Tribolium castaneum: one gene and its partner. The protein of the gene in region 2 binds, or shares a complex with, the protein of the main gene of each other region. Links are inferred from orthologs where the notes say so. Each region holds a gene or a part of one and is shown on either strand. Other genes may lie near its edges.

Region 1 (10,015 bases), on a different chromosome or scaffold from region 2:
TCGTCGACTAGTGTGTAGAATTAATTAAAAAATACAAATAATAATAGTATATTAAAAAATGCGATTTTGTTAAACAGCAAGCAATTTCTAAATTTGATATGGTAATCTGGCCTTGAGTTAGGAGCCAATTTTATAAAACTAAACTGCATACCCGTACAACAAGCTAAAAAAATTCTATTAGCTGTTTACATTTAAAGCAAATAATTTTGTGCAGAAATATTTGAACAGAATTTGTCGATCGCGAATTACTGTTTTATTGTACACATTTGTAACAAATGTATCATTAATATTATACCCACTACTAATTATGCAATTTACAGTGGTTTTAATTTGGTTTTGTTTTATTGAAACCTCCATTAACACATTGTTTGGAGCGCATCTAATTAGGAATATAAATGTCATTGTGTAAATTGAAGAGAATCATTATAAGTTTTTCAACTGTCGATCGTATTACGTCTCCTTGATTGCTCAAAAATTACCTTCCGGATTTGCATTGGTAAATAAGGAATTAATTGCATATTGTGCAAATTTTATTTTCGATTGGCTGTGTGTTCGTGTTGGCAGTCCTATGGGCTGAATAATCGATTTCAGCAGGTTGTCATTACAATTTGAATAAGTCATCGTCCATGTCCATGCTCGATTCGCTGCAAATTAGATATTCTGTAGCGAAGATTAATTTGTCGTGCAACATTCTGTATTGAGTGAATGATGCTGATGATACAGTTGTGTGCCAAATGGTGTTTTGATGATACGCCATCTAGTGTCTGTTGCGTCTGCAGGTGACGTATTATGAGGGCGACGCCGCGCGTCGCGACGTACCTCCGAAGTGCCTATCGAAGCGGACGTCGCCGTCGCTCACTCACATTCACGTCCTCGATACTCATTCATCTCCGACCGCATTATTTTCAAAGTGCCATCCTGCGACGTCTCTTTGAACACTGTCTAGGTCGAACACTTGTCAACTTCTATACGAGTCATTAATCCTCATGGTGGTACGCCCTCCATCGACAAAATAAAGGAAAATTTTTATATTACTGACGTGACAGTTGGGCTTTGATACCGCGTGGAAATTACAAGGAAAACAATAGCCAGGGGAGGAAGCAATGATACTCTTGTTTTATATTCAACGAAAACAGATCAATATCAAACGTAAATTTGAAAAAATAAATAACAAATTTAATTTGCCAGATGGGCTCGAAGATCAAGAATATTTTCGCAAAACGCAAGAAATGGCATCTGCCTGCCTATGGCACTTGAAAATGAATTTCCAGATTGATGGAACGTGGAAGATGAATTTCAAAGTTCAGTTCTGTTGACTTTTTATCGCGGTTCGGTCAGTAGGTCACCTGAGGTTCTTCAAGAAAATGGAAATTAATTGATGTCACACACCATACAATATACAAAAAGATGTTATTCACCTGTAATAATTAAAATCCTAGAAAATCAATCCAATTTTATTACTTATTACAACTTTTAGTTTTAGTTAATTTTTTAATTATTTTTTTAATTATTTTTACAACAAATTGTAATAATAATAGTTGAACTATGCAGCTTTTATAAACTGCCGACGAAACCGTATCCAGTTTTAGAAGTTTTATAATTAAACTTTTTTAGCAGAAATACAAGAGAGAAGTTTATTTCATAATTTTAATATAAAACGTTTTCAAAATTAATTTGTATTATCGAAACCGTATTTGCTATCTTTCGAACCACTCGTATAGATATACCCAGCTATTACTTCTATTAAAAAACGATCAATATTATGTGAATTCTGATACAAGTCTGTAAAAGTTTCATGTCGTGTATTTTATCTCCATCTTTATTGACCCATTTCTATTTTAACTCATATGCGAGAAAATATTTTTATAAATTTATGTTTTATTAAAATTTAATATTAAGCTTTAATGATAAGCTAGGCTTATTTTTTTGCGTGTAAAAACCGAAATTTCTGTAAGTATGGTTGTAACCACCAGCACTTTAAACCTTTTATGTTTAATTACTTTTAATTAGCGCGAATAAACAAAATCAATATTAGCGAACCAAAAATTAGCATAGCTATTATCCGCCTTTGCTATTCGAACTGAAAATCCCCTTCCCATATCCCCACAAGCTTTCAGCAGTTCTATTAAGTTATCTTCAGATGCACCGTCTGTTGTTGCTGGGGTCAAAGCAGCAGTCGTTAGTGACCATTAGTGTTTCATTACTTTGGTCACAGGTTTTTGGGACCCCATCAGTACAAGCAATTTTAAAGGCTTGATTCTTGCGAGGGCAGAAAAGTAAATTTACCCTTCCCTAATTTGCATGATTTGATAAAACTATTTAAAAGTCTATTTGCCTGTGCCCTCATTATAAATCTTTTTAAATTAGCCAAAACTCGATGCTAAACGTTCAGTCCTGTGAAACCGTTAACAAAGCCTTTACATAGCGCTTTGAGTTGCCGAGAGTAGTTTGGCGGCATTTTAGTGTCCTTTTTGGTCATGAAATACCGCATTTACGCCGAAGAATGAGGCTAGAAAAACGACCGGCAAAAAGAAGCAGTTTTACGGCTGCATAAATATTCAGATTTTGTTATTTTTAAACGCAATTAATTTCTTCGTGTACCGGGTCACGCAAAATGTAGCAATATGTTAACTTAGTTATTTCTAATAAACGTGGTGTTGATGCGGAATCAATTTAAAGTGTAGCTTTTAGTTTAAAACTAACATTATATTCGATCTTGGAAACACATGCATGTGACTTCAAAGACAAAGTTTGACGCTTGAAGCATTATGCGGAGAAAATCAACTAAATTAAGACCATCTATAGCAAAATACCGATGTATAGGTGTTGTAAATTACTGAATAAACCACTCACGAATCGTATTGTGCTTTTTCAAGCAAAAATACAAGAAATAAAAGAGTTATTAGTCCGAGTGTATAAGCGCTTAAGTGTAGCACAAACATTTTTATCGTCGTATAAAATTAAGTTTTTATATTTATCATTTCGTGATCAACCCTTCATAAAAACAAGATCGACTTCCGTCTGAAAGGCCGGAATGACCTTGCTAATACACAATTTTATTTGTGTTTTCCACACGGTTAACTCGAAGTCAACTTGGAAGCTTTTTACTTTTAATGGTCAGTTTTGACGATATCGAACTCTATTTTTCATCGGAATCTGGCCGACTGTCAGATATCCCTTCGTCCTTGCTTCAACGACTGCTTGTTTGTATGATAAATGGCCGCGATCAAAGCCGTTCTGAATGACGGAAATAAAACCAACTACAAATGTTTCGCCCCAAATTTAAGCCGTAACAGGTCACCTGACACAGCTGCACAATTGTTCATTACCTTAAATTACAACCGTCCACAAAAGTAATTACAACTTTACTTTATGAAACTGGAACATTCTCCAACTTAATTAATAATGACAAGCACCGAAGTTAAATTACTAGCAAAAATGTTCATCTCAACTGGCCAAGAGAGCAACGTCTTATCGATTTTTCAATTTTTTTCAATTAGAAACTTGTCAACTGCAAAAACTGAATTGGGCCACCCACTCTTGGAAATTTAATAACAATTTCAAGTCTGACTTACCAGCTACGTCTTCTGTCAGTTAAAATAAAAAGCATTTCCGTGTATTACACCGCATCTTCTTAACAGATTTTCACGTTCTTATAACTTTATTCGCACCATTTTAAGTGCAAGGAAACTTTGCAAAATTCTATTTTTGAGAGTAGGAGGCTAAGTGATCCAGGAAGGTATGCGCTCTATTTAGCAAATGAACAGCATTTCTGGGAAAGCTTAGTCAACATTATGTACAGCAATTGCAACTTGTCTTAGCATTCCGGCATTGCCATTTTACCGACTAACCACATCTTTAATAACACTAATGGAACATTCACGCTTTCCCTAATGCAACCAATTCTTCCCTTCTGTCATTCATACGTGTAAAATAAAGCATATTTCACAAAAAACGCAAAACGAGAAAGAACGCGTTATAGAAAATCCAAAATCTCATTACGCGACTTAAGTGCAGCGGGTGAAATACGAAGCATTAGTAAATAAATTGGATTAGGGCGACCATAAATTAGAGAGCAAGTGGAATCGCTTTTATTTGAGCGTTTTACATCTATATCGAGAATTCGATATTTGAGAAACGTTCCAGCAAAAGAACTCCGGAATATTTGATTGATTCTGATTTGCATAATATTTGCAGATGAAGAAATATCTGAAATATTTATTTAACTCGGCTGCTAGTCAGAGATTAATCCCCGGTATGTGGAAAAATCGATGATATCTCGCCCGTAATTGCTTTAAATTCGGTATCGGCGCCCACAATCGACGCTCTGCCAGAAAACATCATAACGCTACAATGGAAAAGTGAAGGGAAGGTCGGTGCAACTTACCCACGCAAGCTACAAACAAAAGGCCTAAGAACAAAAGTTCTCGTGCGTTCTCCATTGCGCTTAGAGGGGTCCTTCAACATTACCACCAGCACTGTAATTTGTTACCATTATCGCCGAGTCTCTCACCAGTGTGTCATTTTCTATCCGATTATTTCTTCGAGCGCTTGCGATCATCCGAATAATCTACTTTTAATTCGAGATTGTGCACCAAGAGACACTAACACTGCACTGGGGAATTAAAATCACAGGAGTTCACTAAACTAGCTACACCATAGATGATTACAACTAACGGTTATTACGTTAAATCTACAGTCTTCTATTTTTTGGATGAAGTTGCTTTTGATAAAGGAGTTTAATGGTGGCAATTAGCGCGCTTATCAGGCGGAGTTCGAGTGCGCGGGTTGCGGATTGCAAACATGCCGCGAAGTGTAGAGAAAGACCTTCAGGGAACGAGTGGCGCCTCGACGCCGCAAAACCCGGTCAAACTCCGGCGCCTGCGTCCGTCCCTTTAATTCTATTATGATTATAGTCATCGCTGATAACACAGATTCGATATTGATGGACAGTTCCTGGGATCCACTCCACTTGTAAATCGTCCCTTTCTTATCACAGAGCCTTTGACAAGTCGGGGCTATCGCGCCGGTGGCCACCTCCCAGATAAGCGGTACTTCCAGGTTTTCGAGAGCTTTACAACTGTTACCCTTCTTGACATAAGTAGCGACTCGAAGCCCCCGAATCGATTTTAATTTCGTTTAAATGCAACTCAACCCCTGAGTAATTGGAGGGACAGACCGTAAAAAAATTGTCGCAATTTAACTTCGACGACCATTTCGAGAGTTTTATGTTGACGCGAAAATTCGATACAAGAATCTTTCTGTTATTACTTAGAATGACGGATTTCGGGCCGTAATCAAATTTTCGATTCGCGTACAATGGATTCACGTTCTGCGTCAATTTATTTTAACAAGATTGCTGATATGGACGCACATTTAAATAAAAGGGTCTCTTGTGGGTGCTGGAGACTCGACTACACTATGAACGGCATCGGCTCTAATAGGCGTTTCAGGTGTTTTCTAATTAAAAGTTCAAGGAAAATTATGCAAAAATTATCCGGGACACCTCGGGAGAGAATTTCCTGCCGTCTTATTGTTCAAACGTCAAAGAAAAATACACTTAATTATTCACAGAAATTTAATACTCTCCAAATTTCCAACTCGATGTTTTCTTTACCAGCACAACTGCATCCGTATTGTGTGCGATAATTAACATTACAATAAACAGCGAATAGGCAGGAACAAAAACAATCTGGTTTAAACAATTAATTAAAAACGTAATTAATTTTTTTGTAAATTATTTCTTAAAAAAAAAATTGTTTACACGAAAGGAAGGCGCGTTATTTGTGTTTGTAATACGAGTCTTTAAAGGAAAATATTTTTTGACTCGAAATTTTGCCAAGAAACATGAGATACTGTATGTTCAAATATTTAATGTGAAAACAAATTGCTATTAGGTAACAAACAAAGCGTAATATTTTTAATATTCTTGAACTCAAAAATTGTGATAAATTATTCAAGATCAGTTAAGTGCAAGGTTGGATAATTTCCTGTACGTAACCTTAGATTATGAGAAGAGATGGAAACTCAATAGCCTTCTTGTAATTAATAATGTATAAGCCAGCTATCCAATCGATCATCATTGATGAGAAGAGAATATAATTAGGTTAATGGTGATGATCGATCAAATTGAGAAGTTCTCGAAAATTTGTACTCTACTTGATACATCCTTGTTAATTACCAACTTTCTTCAACATCATTTAATAAACCCTGGACTGAGAAAAATGACAGTTTGTTCCAGTAAAGTGCAATTTTGGCGTGACAACACCATACGATAAATTATTACGATATAATACGTATTGTTGCATATAACATTGAGGTGATTATCCCTCTGTAATGTTGAAAATTGTAATTACATAATTCGTCGCCACATCGTTTATAACAATTTTGTGCTAAAATTTGGAGTCGGATGATCGCTAATTAACCTTAATACGACATTAAGCAGAAAGGAGACGTGATGGTGCCATAGCGGCATAAATTAACCGTAGGGGAGACCCGGTCTTAGGTGACACAAAACAATCAGGGTGACGTAATTTAAAATGACTCGAAGTTCTTTTGAGACATTACCAACGAAATATAAATATTACAAATAAATGGAGGGCTTTCACTTTTATTTTATTTTTAAAATTCTCCGGTATTTATATCACAAAGAGAAATGTGTTGGCGAAGACTTAAAATTGGAAAGGGTGAGGCGAAAACGCGATATCAATTACCCAGTCTGAGAGTTCTTTCATTTGCAAAATGCTGCATTCAACTTACGTTGGCTTCGTACTTGATTGACCAGGTTTGAAAACTGTCAAAACTTTTATTCAGTTTCTTTTAAAATTCACTTAATTGGAAAACGTCTTGTCTGAGATTCTCTCAGTATGAACAATTGCATATGAGGAAGCACGAATACAAAGAATTGCAAGCTGGTGTGAGCCTTTGTACAAGCGCCTCCTGCTTTGCACAACAAAACGATGTCAATTAGTATTTCAATTTTACATCGTCGTGTCTGTCGATAAACGCAGATCTCTCGCTGACTTTTCCTCGCACCCTCCAATACACGCGTACAGGCGTAGGTGCCAAATAAATACACCGACGGCTTTTAAAATACAAAATTGTAGCAGAATTTTCTATTTATCTGCTTCCTAGAAGGGAAAATATTCGCTCACATTTAGAATATGACACGAGAATAAAAATATTGTCATTATTATTTAAAAAATAAGAAAACAATGTTGATTCAACTAATGTTTTAAAAATCAAACAAAGTATTCAAGAGGAAAGTGCAATTAGTATTTTTGGTTGCATCTTAGAACATAGAAATAACCCACTATTGACTCATCCTGTACATTTATATAAATACACATGTATTTGTCTTATAATAAACTCAGATTATTAAAATCAACCACAAAAATTATTTTCTATCGCAAATTTTTGTGTTTGTAACCAAATTAAACGAATAATGACCTAATTTCTGTCCTGTTTGAAGCTCAGAGAACGCATTTGTTCTCAAATTGGTAGATCTCTCATCAAATAAATTGGTCTCCGTAGTTAGAACCTTATAACGATGTAAGTTTCATTCTTATGATGTCACCACTGTTACAAATAATTAATTTTTCTTGATAGATGGTCTATTATTATGTACATATAATCAGCGGTTAAGTATAGGTATTTTCAGGTGGTGCTCATAAATTTATTGATGATTAATTAAATATATTGGTGTTATAAAAATTTGAAGATATTCATCAATGCTCAGTCTGAATGTTATTTATTGATTATCGATTACGTTTTCAAGAGACTGTACATAAATTATGCAATAATAATGGTTTAAAGCAAACAAAAAATTTAATAAATTCGTGTCCATTAAAATTACCGCTTCTAAAGTAAAGTATATTTTTCTATTTCTTTACATTTTTCCTAACAATGAGTTGGTAAGAGCACTTTATATTTGTGGTTAAAATTGGTTTAGCAAAGAAGTAGTTACAGAAAATGCATTTGGTTTTATTTAACTATAACGCCATCAAAATCCATTAACTGAATAAACTTTTTTTAGGATAGGCATGTTCGACTAAACTTTGTACTTAAAATAGAGGAGATTTAAGCCATCGTTAGTCTTTAACTATCAAATGCAATTACCTCTGATCTATACGGATAAAATCGTAAACTTTCAACGTTATCGTAGTTTTACAAAGTTTTGGAAGTTGTATTTCACATAGTGGTGGAGGATTTTATGCAGTTGTCATGAGACTGCATTTAATGAAAAACGACATTACTATTTTAGTACTAGATAACTAAATTTAATTTATTTTTTGTTTTGAAGCATTCACCCCAAATTACAAAATGCAAAATTTAATGCAAGGACAGTTTTATCTCTTAATCGTTGTACATACTTAAAACTTATACAGAATAATTCATAATACGTTAATTAATTTTAAAACAGACAAAATGTTAGTTTGAACAAATTACTTTCTAAAATTGCAGAACGTATTTTTTATATTGAAACTACTTTTTAAACTTTGCGAGTGTGTTGTTAAAGAAAATGAATATAACTAATCTTACGCTATTATTTGTGATTAATTTAAGAGAAAAAAAATGCTCTCGTTACATTCAGAAATAGATTCCAATTTGTGAATATTTGTTTATTTGTTTTGGCTTCGGAATCAAAGCAAATTGGCTTTTCCAGTTTTTTCCTAAGCGGAAAAAGCGGTCGTTTAAGCCCCTCTGACAGCAGCACTATCATCAGGTAAGCACAATTTGTAGGGAAACAAACCGTCCGATGACGGGTTGTCCATTACTCGCCCCTAGCTAGGGCGCAACCAGGGGAGCATGTAACACGTCATTACTGCGGTCGTAAAGGCAATCATATTGGACCGCACTTATTATTTTTCCAGATCATAAAGTCCGCCAGTCACAAATCATTTTTTCTCCACCCCCGTGTACAATAGAAGGAGACGATAACAGGCACAGCGATAATGGGCGAGATAAGGAGCGCAACTGATGATTACGAGGGTTCCAGACTCGGACTGCATTGTATATTGCAAAATAAATGTTCGCGTTTTTATGGTGGCCATCAAAAATCGTTCCGACTCTTGCAATACTTGTGAAAAAAATGGCCACCGTTGTCTTTCAGACCCTTTATATGGATTTTCAAGCACGTGATAAAAATTGACAACTACCAAGCCAATATCCCAAAAATGAAATGAACAGTCTCACGGAACAAATCACATTAAATGCAATGGCTGCTAGTAAAAAGTTTTTTAATCAAAATTACGTGTGATTTTTTTTAATTATGACGCCTATCAATAAATCAAACGAGATCTTAAAGTAAAACTTGGAGCTAGAAAAACTCGCTGGTGCTTCAATGAATATAAATGATAGATCAGGAAGAAAAGGGAGAAACTTTACGGTTAGACTGGACAAGAAATTTAACAAATAAGTTGTAAAGGACATACGACTACCAATTTTCGCCGAAAATAAAAATCCTTGAGGTTTTTTTTATAACGTCACGTTTTCATACTGTGCAGAATAAAATTTACGATGAAATGCATAATAAATGCATTCCTTTGACTGAACAATTTCGAATGCTGATCGCAGCATCAAATTTCAACGGTTTTTTTTTGTATTTAAGTTAAAGTACTAATAAAGTTTGCAACAAACTTCGTCTGTTGGTATAAGTTTAAAGCAGAATTTCTTCATAAATCTCAACAAGATGCTCTTGCAATTAACTTGCATTTTTACAAAAGTAAATTTTACGGAGCAAAAGCAACTAACTTTTTCGATAACTGGCGATTTTTTCACATTGGGATTTGGTAATTTAATAATTCACGTACAAATATTTATTAAACTTTTTGAAGCTTGGGGGGATTTCATTTACACTGGATTGTGGAGTTTATATTGGTCTCGGTTATAAGTTATAAGAAACGGTCAATATTCCTAACCAAATAACAAAATTGACTTCTCTTGTTGGTTTTTAGATATGCGATTTACATTTCAAGATAAATTAAATCCCTCGAAACAGTAATTTATTTATAAA
Region 2 (8,844 bases):
AATAGGAGGAATCGCTAAATTGTGTCGAGCGCAGCTCGATTTAGCATATTAATAAAATATTTTCTTTGAGATAAAGACGTCGCCGACGACATGTATTTTGACAATAACGCCCGGAAACAACCTACACGTTTTGATGTGATAACATCTAACGATTCGAAATAACAGCGCGGCACCTCATTGCGATAATACCTTTTGTAATGTAGATGACAAAAACTAAATCTGCACGAATGTACCTTTTGTGTTCCCTTATAATTACAGTGACATTTCGGGTGTTGAACACGATCAACAGTCGACTCAAAATAAACCAAAACTTTTACCGATATTACTAAGGGATGCTTGCCAAATCGTTATGTTCCTTCGAATACGCGTGCCAAGGATTCTAAGTGCTGCATTTCCGGGAGTGCTAATGAAATTTATCCTGCCTTTTAAACCTATACATATAAATCGGTTTATTGTGCGGTCCATTAAAACTGACGCTAAACAATCAAACCGCAGCAAGATTATAGATAAATTGCAAGGGCGGAATATAAATTGGATGAAAATAAAACGACTCTTTAGAAAACTATTTTATTTTAGTAGCAAGTTTTTCACAATACAAAATGGAATGATACGGCTATTCACATACTCGTTATTTATACACAAAGAGAATAAACAACCTAAATAGGAAGAAACATTTGACTCGGTTGATTGAGGATATGCATATCGACTTTCAGACTCTTGAACACTAAATTTGTTTTTATTTAAACACAGAGACAGAATCTATAGCCACGAGAAGCTCAACGAGAGACCAGGTTTGTGGCCAGTGATTGGCCTTTGTCAAAATTCGTTTTATCATTAGTATGTGCATAACTTTGCTACACTAAGTACTTGCATGTCGCTTGTAATCCATATTTATGGGGCCCTGACTGCATTCAATCCACCTATTATTATACATACTGCCAATAATTTTATTTCTAAAGCGCTATTGCTTACTAATTACCTTACAAAGAATACAGTTATCAGTCGCAGCCACTAACAGACATTCGCACTGTCTGACAAATGTGTATGATATATGCGAGAAAAAAAAACAATGATTCCGGCCACATGTGCCCCAAATGGACCTTATCACTAAAACCACTTGTAGCGAGGGAAGCATATAAAAAATAGTTAAGGAAGAGAAATTCATCGTCTGAACAACACATCTTGTTTCAGCGTTAATCTTGAGATTTCTCTTGTACACAGCACAACATGAGTAAGATTTATTGTAGGACCAAAGGCAGCGCGACTAAAAAAGCTACGAAGATAAGTCCGGTTTTTGCACGTTCCCCGGAACCGTACTCCTCTTCTTGGAACAAGGAATCCGGTTGGTCGTCCAACCCTGAAACAAACCCGACAGCTTAATTTCAATCACGACACGTCCTCACACATCACCAATCAAGGACACATTGTCTTGGAATAATTATTAAATTATTAATGTGTGCTCCATGCTTAAGCAAGTGCGCATTGCAATCAATCATCCCTTGTTGCCGCTAAATTACTCGGAACGATCTGAAACAGCTCTTCGCGCGTTTTTTTTTATTAAAACTGAAATTTTGGCTGAACATGATCGCGGAAACAGGAGTAATGGGCTGGCTTTGATTTCGAATCAATCTCGGGGCTTACGCGACAGATATTAAAAGACATGTGCTCCAATGCTCCCATAAATCATCAAGCTTCGATGCTTGGATTGAGAGGAAAACAGCCAAAAAGGACGGGAAAAAATTTATGAATGCGAACAACAAGCTTTAATTATATAGAAAGCCGGGAAAATATTACTCCGTCTTGTTGCAGGAGTTTTGATAAAAAGATAAGAATCGTTGTTATCCTTGCGATGTGCAAAGTTGCTTTGAATCGTAAACTTGTTCGCAAGTGTAGTTCCAACTTGTATATTTGCAGATGGTGGCTATTAATGTTTACAGACAACGACTGCAAGCACCTTTATTGTTTCCAAGACAGAAAACTATAAATTGACAATATTAAAAGTGTAATACCGCAATATTACTGTTTTAATTGCTTACTGCGAACGTCTGGTTGTAGATCATTTGAATGGTTACAAAAACTGGTGATGCAGTCTACCGCTTTACTAAAATTAGATACGGAAACAAGAAATTCGCTGCAAGTTTGCTTTAATAGAATGCAACGTTGTGAAGAACCGAGCTAGAAGTAGGAAAACACCTATTAGCGAAACATTCGCTGAAGGGTTCAAATTTAAAGTGAGATTTCAAGTGATAAATTCAGTTGCATTTACAGCGTGACGCTTCGCGATGTTTTCTAAAAGAATCACAGATTATTTCAGTTTGTTTAATCGCTTGGTTTGGTGTAACAAAACTGCGTTAAAATGATGCACAATTTATATTTTTTGCGACGTAGTAATGATTTGTTTTTATCAGTTTCACAAAAAATTTAATATTCATAAAATTGTCTCGGAAGGTAAATATTGCGCAGTATAAATAAATTTCCTTTGGTAGCGTTTACTAGGTAATAAATTTTTTTGTAAAAAACACTGTTTTATGCTAAAGTAAAGTTTTGAAAAATGTCTCTTCGTAGAAATTGCTTCGATCAAAAGCTGGATATTTCAAATAATTGACTGAACTGTCGGCGGTCTTGTATAATTTAAGACATCAACTCGAAAGAGCTATCTTTTCCTGCTAAAAATTTAACATGAAGAGGGGGTCTTTTACAACTGTAACTCAAAGTATTATCCTCGATGTCTGTAAACAAGCATTATGTGATAAAATCGTGAACGGGGTAAGCTTGTAATCTCGAGTTTTTTTACTTTGTCGGATAAAAGAGTGTGGTTTTGCGGCGCACCATAACGCGAAAATCGTCGGTTTGTGGTCGGGGCCGATCTATTATTTATGGTCATTCCCGTGTATACGTAAGGGACCACAAGCAAGTTCGTAAGATCCACGAAATATTCATTGCAATATGAATAATTTTCTAGAGCAATTGATTACTCACCGTCGGCGATATTTTCCAGTTCTCCGATGACGTCGTTGGGTTTCTTTTTAAGTTTGCCTGTGGTAACATAACGGCGAAAATTAATAACGATCCCGTCCTAATATATAATTTATAAAACGTAACCGGCGTTGATTTGTAAGTGAAATAAATTATGAAATTGCATGTTAACATGACGTTTCCACCTAAATTCGCTGGTAAGTGACTGGGAAGTGCGGAATCGTGCTTGTTAATCGTGACAGTCTGCGCCATGCTGAGCTTTTGTATATTAATCAAGAGTCGGCGCGAACTTTAAACCGAGATTTCTTAAAGCCGGATCTTGGACGGATTTTACACGCCTCGGCGCAATTTATTCACTCATTATTAATAACTCGGTTAATTAATCGAGGAAACGTTGGACGTATGGAACATAAATACGCATCACCGCACGATAAATTACCGACACAGAGAGCCGGGTTAGTTTTATAAATTACGTCACGTACCTTCCAACTTTCGGGGTTAAATGTTACGAACTCACCTTTCCTTGATAAACCATTCGAAAGTTTTGATGGCTTAGGTATGGCTGTAAAAAATATAGACTCCAGTTAACATTCCTCAATCATACGAAATATGACGCTTCTACATTTATGGACAGCATTAACACCGAAAATTTTCCCAATAAAATTTTTATCGCCAATATTACAGCATACTAATCTGATTAAACCCACATCGCAATTACACTATCGTGTTTTTTCTGCAATAAATGGCGATAAAATTCGAAATTAAATTTGACTAAAGTAAAATCACCAACGCGTTTGAATCAATCTTGATCAGTGAAAGATAAAACAAAATCTCTCAAACCACGGGGATTTAATAGATTAATTCAATCACGCAATAATTAGAGCAAGTATTTGCCAACAATTTCCACTATTTTCCGCCAGTCTGACTTCAACTGCAAATTTAGCAACAAAACATGAATCAGCACGTTTGCAAATTGAAAATAAAACTCGCTCTAGTTTCCATACTGTTTTAAATCAAAGATTAAGTCCTGAAGTGTAGTGCTTCGAGTCATTTTTACAAGTAAGTGTGTAATTAGCAATACAGATTTGTATTTATCAAAGAAGACTTTAGTGTAGTATTTGATGCATAAAACGCGATTCCCCGGTTCGCTAGTCAAAGTTGAAATATTTCAAACGAGACTAAGAATAAGTTTCCCCTTTGGGTTCATTCTTCGCCTAATCATTTAAAATTCATTTCGAAATATCAGCGTAATCAACTTACCGAAAACTTGTATCGTTCCGTCCGTATCGCCTAAAGAGTTTTTCGATACACACTTGTAATTCCCGTAGTCCTGCGGAGTTATCGACCGTATGGTCAGTTTCATGTGGATCTTGTAGCCGTTCGTCGAGTACGATGGTTCGTATTTTCCACCTGAAAATACGGAATAATTTACGGTTTATATCGGGTATAAAATCTGGATTATAATTTATAATACCGGAATTTTCAGCATGAAAAATATTGACTCAATTGCGTCACTACCGTATTACATCGATTGACGGCCAATTTGCCACGTTATTGTTACTGATACTTGCGAATGTAAGGTTCACGCAAGAGCTATTGCCGCCACTTGGCACATATTTATCGAACAAAATATTTTTTGTTTCATGACAACAAATGAGGGTTTATAGCGAAGCGGGATCGTAAATCTGTCCAAATTATTTCTAAATATGTAGCAACCAGAAACATCACTATAACAAAGACAGAGCACCCTTTTGAAATCGCTGTCTATGGAGAAGCAACGAAAACTTGTTTGATTTGTTATTAAAAAATCTAACAAGTGGTAGGTAGTATATTTTAATTACAGTGGGACCACAAGTGTGATATTTTACGTCGGCTGTGTTGTATCGAATTGATAAAATTATGAGCCCCCGAGAGGCCAAAATTAATGTGAAGTCATTGGGCTCGTTAATAAAAAGAGTAATAAAAATCCGGAGACAAAACCCGAAAATGAGGGTAAAACCGGCAGCGTAATTAAAAAAAAGAGAGAAAAAGAAAAGACAATAATACAATAAAGGACGAGAAAAAAATTGTGAAATCCATAGACGGAAGTTGTGATCGTGCTTTTAGCTCTTAACAAACCAACGGTCAGACCTGTCCGAGAAACTTATCTAAAAAGCAACACGTTTTCCTTTTACACAGCGAAATAATAAAAAAGTACTAACTTTGCGGAACGATTTCGCCTTTATCAGTGGTCCAGTAGTTAATAGACTTCGGAAAAGCCTCCGAGTGGCATTCGAGTGTTATCTGTTGTCCCTCGTATGCTCCCACTAGCTGATTCTGAATCCAGATCATTGGAGGAACTGGAAAAGATCTGATGAGAATGGACCGGTGAACGCTTCAAACTGCTTACAATGCACGATGAGCATGATGCGCTTGCTGACTGATGGAGGAATGCCGTTTGAGGCGATGCACAGGTAAGGCCCCATTTGTTGCCGACTCACGCGACTGATGTTCAACACAGGACCGTCGACACTTGGCACTGTGAACACAAAAACGCAAATTGTGAAAAATTAGCGAGTTAAATAATAAATTTGTTCCGACTTTTGACCCGGCGCCTCCACCAAAATTGCATATTATTACATTTAAAATTTAAAGATCCATTGGTATGAAAGATTGTTACGTACAGTAAGTAAGCACCTTCGTAGATACTATTTCCGTTTCTTTCAGATTTTGTTCAATCTTGCATAACATAACACAACATAAGACGCGCTCCCGAAAAATTATTTTAAAAAGAAATAATTTTTTTTAATGTTTAAAATTTTTTCTAAACTGTTTTGTCAAATAATGACTATTATGACATCGCACTTGATGACGATGAGTGCTTTAAGATGCCTATTAAAGAATCAAAATGGCGGAAAATTACAAAAAACATTTTCAACTATTTATGCTGTCAATTTTTCCGTGTCATTATAGTCATTATTTCTCGTTTTTTGGTAGAAAATTTCAATACTCCTTTTAACTTCTTTTCTGCTCCAAAATTCACTATCAAGCGATGGATATTGCTAGAAAATAGCAATATATCTGTGATATTATGTTTAAATTGTTTTACTGATGTTACAACTAAAAATTTTATGACTTACAAATTTAATTAAATCGAGGAATCTTATCACAACATTTAAGTCAGTATTTATTTGTTATAAAAAGTATGTTTGCTTCTGTAAAAACAAACAATAAGAACACATCGCGGTAGTGGGTTTAATATTCGCGACATTTTAAATTAACCGCAAGGTTCTGCATACGTTTTTCTAAAGGTTAAAGTTAGAATGTATGTTATATGTTGTGTAACATTTTAATTTCGTATAAAAGGAAATGTCAATGCACTACAAAAACAAGAGGAGGAAAGCCCTGAATGAAACTTACTTTATGTCATTTGAAAAAAGTATTGCTTTCCTAGGTAAGATTTTGTTTAGAGACATGGCAAATGAGATAATTAGGCAAATTGAGTAACGTTGTTTACACGCCCATCACAAAGTTTAACACATTCCGCAGGTAAAGTTGGCAAAGGCATGAGTAATGCCGGCCGTTTTGTAGTTAAGACACGTTGGAGATCTCGTTTTGAAGCAATGATAAATTTTCGAGCAAAATATTTTTCGCTGCAGTTTGTATATTTATTCAGAAGATTGTGCCACTTTTGGCGGCAGGTTGTGCTATCGCATTAGGCGATTACGTGTCTTCTTGCGATGTGTGCTTTGCTGCGCTTCTGAAGGACCTTCAATTAACGTGAAAAGCCGCTTCTGACTGAGATAAATCTCGGCTCGATATGATTTCTGCGCAAGCCTCCCAAACCAGGCAAGAATGATGGAAATTAATTATTCATTTGAGACCGAGCATAAAGAATGGTTCTTTTTTTGTTTGCAAACGGCGTGAATCAATGGAAGAGTAGCGAAGTGTCTTCTGAATTTTCAACAGAACTTTCCGTCACGTTTTTCCTCGTCATTTAACGTGACTTCTAAATACTTGCATTATGCCTCTTGCTAAATTTACATATTTTTATTACGAGTTTTCGATAAACTCGGCTTCGACTTTTCTTGCGTGACAATCGCACTTGCTCTCACTTCACGTGTATTTTTCTTGACGGAACTTGATCCGCTCAACTTTCGATGTTTTCAACAATGGCAACTTTATTCCGAACTCAGGCAATTTCGGAAATTTCACACCCAATACACCGCACTTGAGATTAATATCTCGATAGGTACACACCCAGAAAGCAGGGCAGATAACGAGCGAATTCATTTTTCACGAGCCGTTTCCAATTTTTTAACGTTATACATATTAGACTTTATGCGCGCTGGAAGCGGCGCCGAATTCGGGAGCTACCCTACCGAGAACTTTCATTAATTAGTAATTGTGTGAAAAATACACTCATGCCTTCATGCTCTCATAACCAAGCCATTGGATACTCCATGATTAACCAATCGATTAACCAAAGCGAGACATGCAGCTAAGCCACTTTCCCCGCTGCACTGTAATTTAGTTTTCAACCTTTTCATGATTCGTTAACGTCACTTTACAACGCAAAAATATAACAATACAATCGATTTACTCATTCATCATGTCTACGTCTAGTTCAGACTTTTCGCTATAATTTGTAATCACCTTCTTCTCCCGTTAACAATTTGAGGGGCTCTCCGGTTTCTCGTCTCCAGTTGATTGAAGGTTCTGGTGATCCATTGGCAACACAGCGAAGATTCACGTTGGATCCCTCACGCACCACCATATCGGTGCTCGTAGGGTAGTCCAGGATATCCGGAGGCACTAAAAGAACAACAACAAACTCGGTTATTGCAAAATACAACCTTCAACAACTTTATCAAAGCAGATCCAACAATAACACAATCCAACTTAACATCACAATCCAAGATTTAACTTGCATATAACAAACTCTAAGATAGACAACTGTTTATTTCCAGATAGACAAAGTTCGAAATAATCGGCTTTGTAAGCTCAAATCTATCCGAATAGATTTAAGAAAAGCACATCTCTTAAACAAAGGGTTTATAAAATCATTCTGGCAGTCGGGGTAATTAAACAACTTAAATTGCCTCTAAGCTCAGCCGAAAAACTTTAAAACATTTTAATCCATATCTCTAGCTCGTAATAAACAGATATGGCGTGGAGATTTTTGAAAGTACAAGCATTCCAACACGCGTTATCTGGTGGATCAACAATTTTAACGTTGTAATTAATTCTATAAAAGCAAATCAGCGACAACGCTTTGAAGATAAAGAAAATAAATACATTGTGCTGTTCGCTCCGCGGAAATGTGGGTTTTGGAATAGAAGTAACGCAATTAGATGGCGGTTATAAGCTACCCTGTAATGTTACATACGACGCGCTGCACAAGAAGTGATGTTAAAACGTCCTATGATTCGGTGTTATGTAATTTGATGGCTGTTTTACATACATTTGCATGTTATTGGATGGCGGGGAAAGGTGGTTGCTGAAACACGACCGACTCACTAACCACGCATGGGGAGACAGCTATTACGGTAGCAAATTTAGTGGCTTTTGCAGAAGTGGTTTTACCTGATGTCCTCGGATTAGCTTCGGTCTGTTATCCCACATTTATTAAAACAGCTTCGCTTAATTTCATTATTAATTTATTTGGAAAGTTGCACTAAACTCTAACAATCCGCTAAACGGACAGTACGAGTTTTAATTAGATCGCCCCAATAATCTCCCAAAATTAACGGAAACCGCACAAAAGCGGATAAGTATTGCCTTGACGATGCGTTAGCTTGGCGAAAGAGCACCTATTTGGGGTTTTTTAAACGATGACAAATAAGAGGCAATTTTGTTCTTGACCTTCTTGTCAAGTCGGGGCACGTT

The links.
Region 1: the proteins of neurotrimin (region 2) and zwei Ig domain protein zig-8 are in contact, whole or in part, in a crystal structure (PDB 6NRW), measured with the Drosophila melanogaster proteins. The link is inferred for Tribolium castaneum from reciprocal best matches to the Drosophila melanogaster genes DIP-eta and dpr1. Residues at the interface, in NP_001188701.2 of Drosophila melanogaster: Tyr72, Lys73, Val74, Ala75, Leu77, Arg78, Val79, Thr81, Gln82, Thr83, Ile84, Ile87, Ile92, Thr93, Lys94, Asn95, Met124, Gln126, Ile127, Asn128, Thr129, Asp130, Met132; in NP_001286645.1 of Drosophila melanogaster: Asp82, Lys83, Ser86, Ile88, Lys90, Asp92, Leu93, His94, Ile95, Ala98, Tyr103, Thr104, Ser105, Asp106, Glu136, Gln138, Asn140, Glu142, Lys144.

Annotation. Positions count from the first base shown.
Region 1 is NC_087396.1:12,589,397-12,599,411, forward strand, and holds the start of zwei Ig domain protein zig-8, read right to left. Parts: upstream 4,855-10,015; 5' UTR 4,443-4,854; coding exon 4,388-4,442; intron 1-4,387.
Region 2 is NC_087397.1:7,948,898-7,957,741, forward strand, and holds the end of neurotrimin, read right to left. Parts: intron 7,771-8,844; coding exon 7,612-7,770; intron 5,495-7,611; coding exon 5,366-5,494; intron 5,316-5,365; coding exon 5,178-5,315; intron 4,387-5,177; coding exon 4,237-4,386; intron 3,539-4,236; coding exon 3,494-3,538; intron 3,037-3,493; coding exon 2,980-3,036; intron 1,358-2,979; coding exon 1,239-1,357; 3' UTR 554-1,238; downstream 1-553.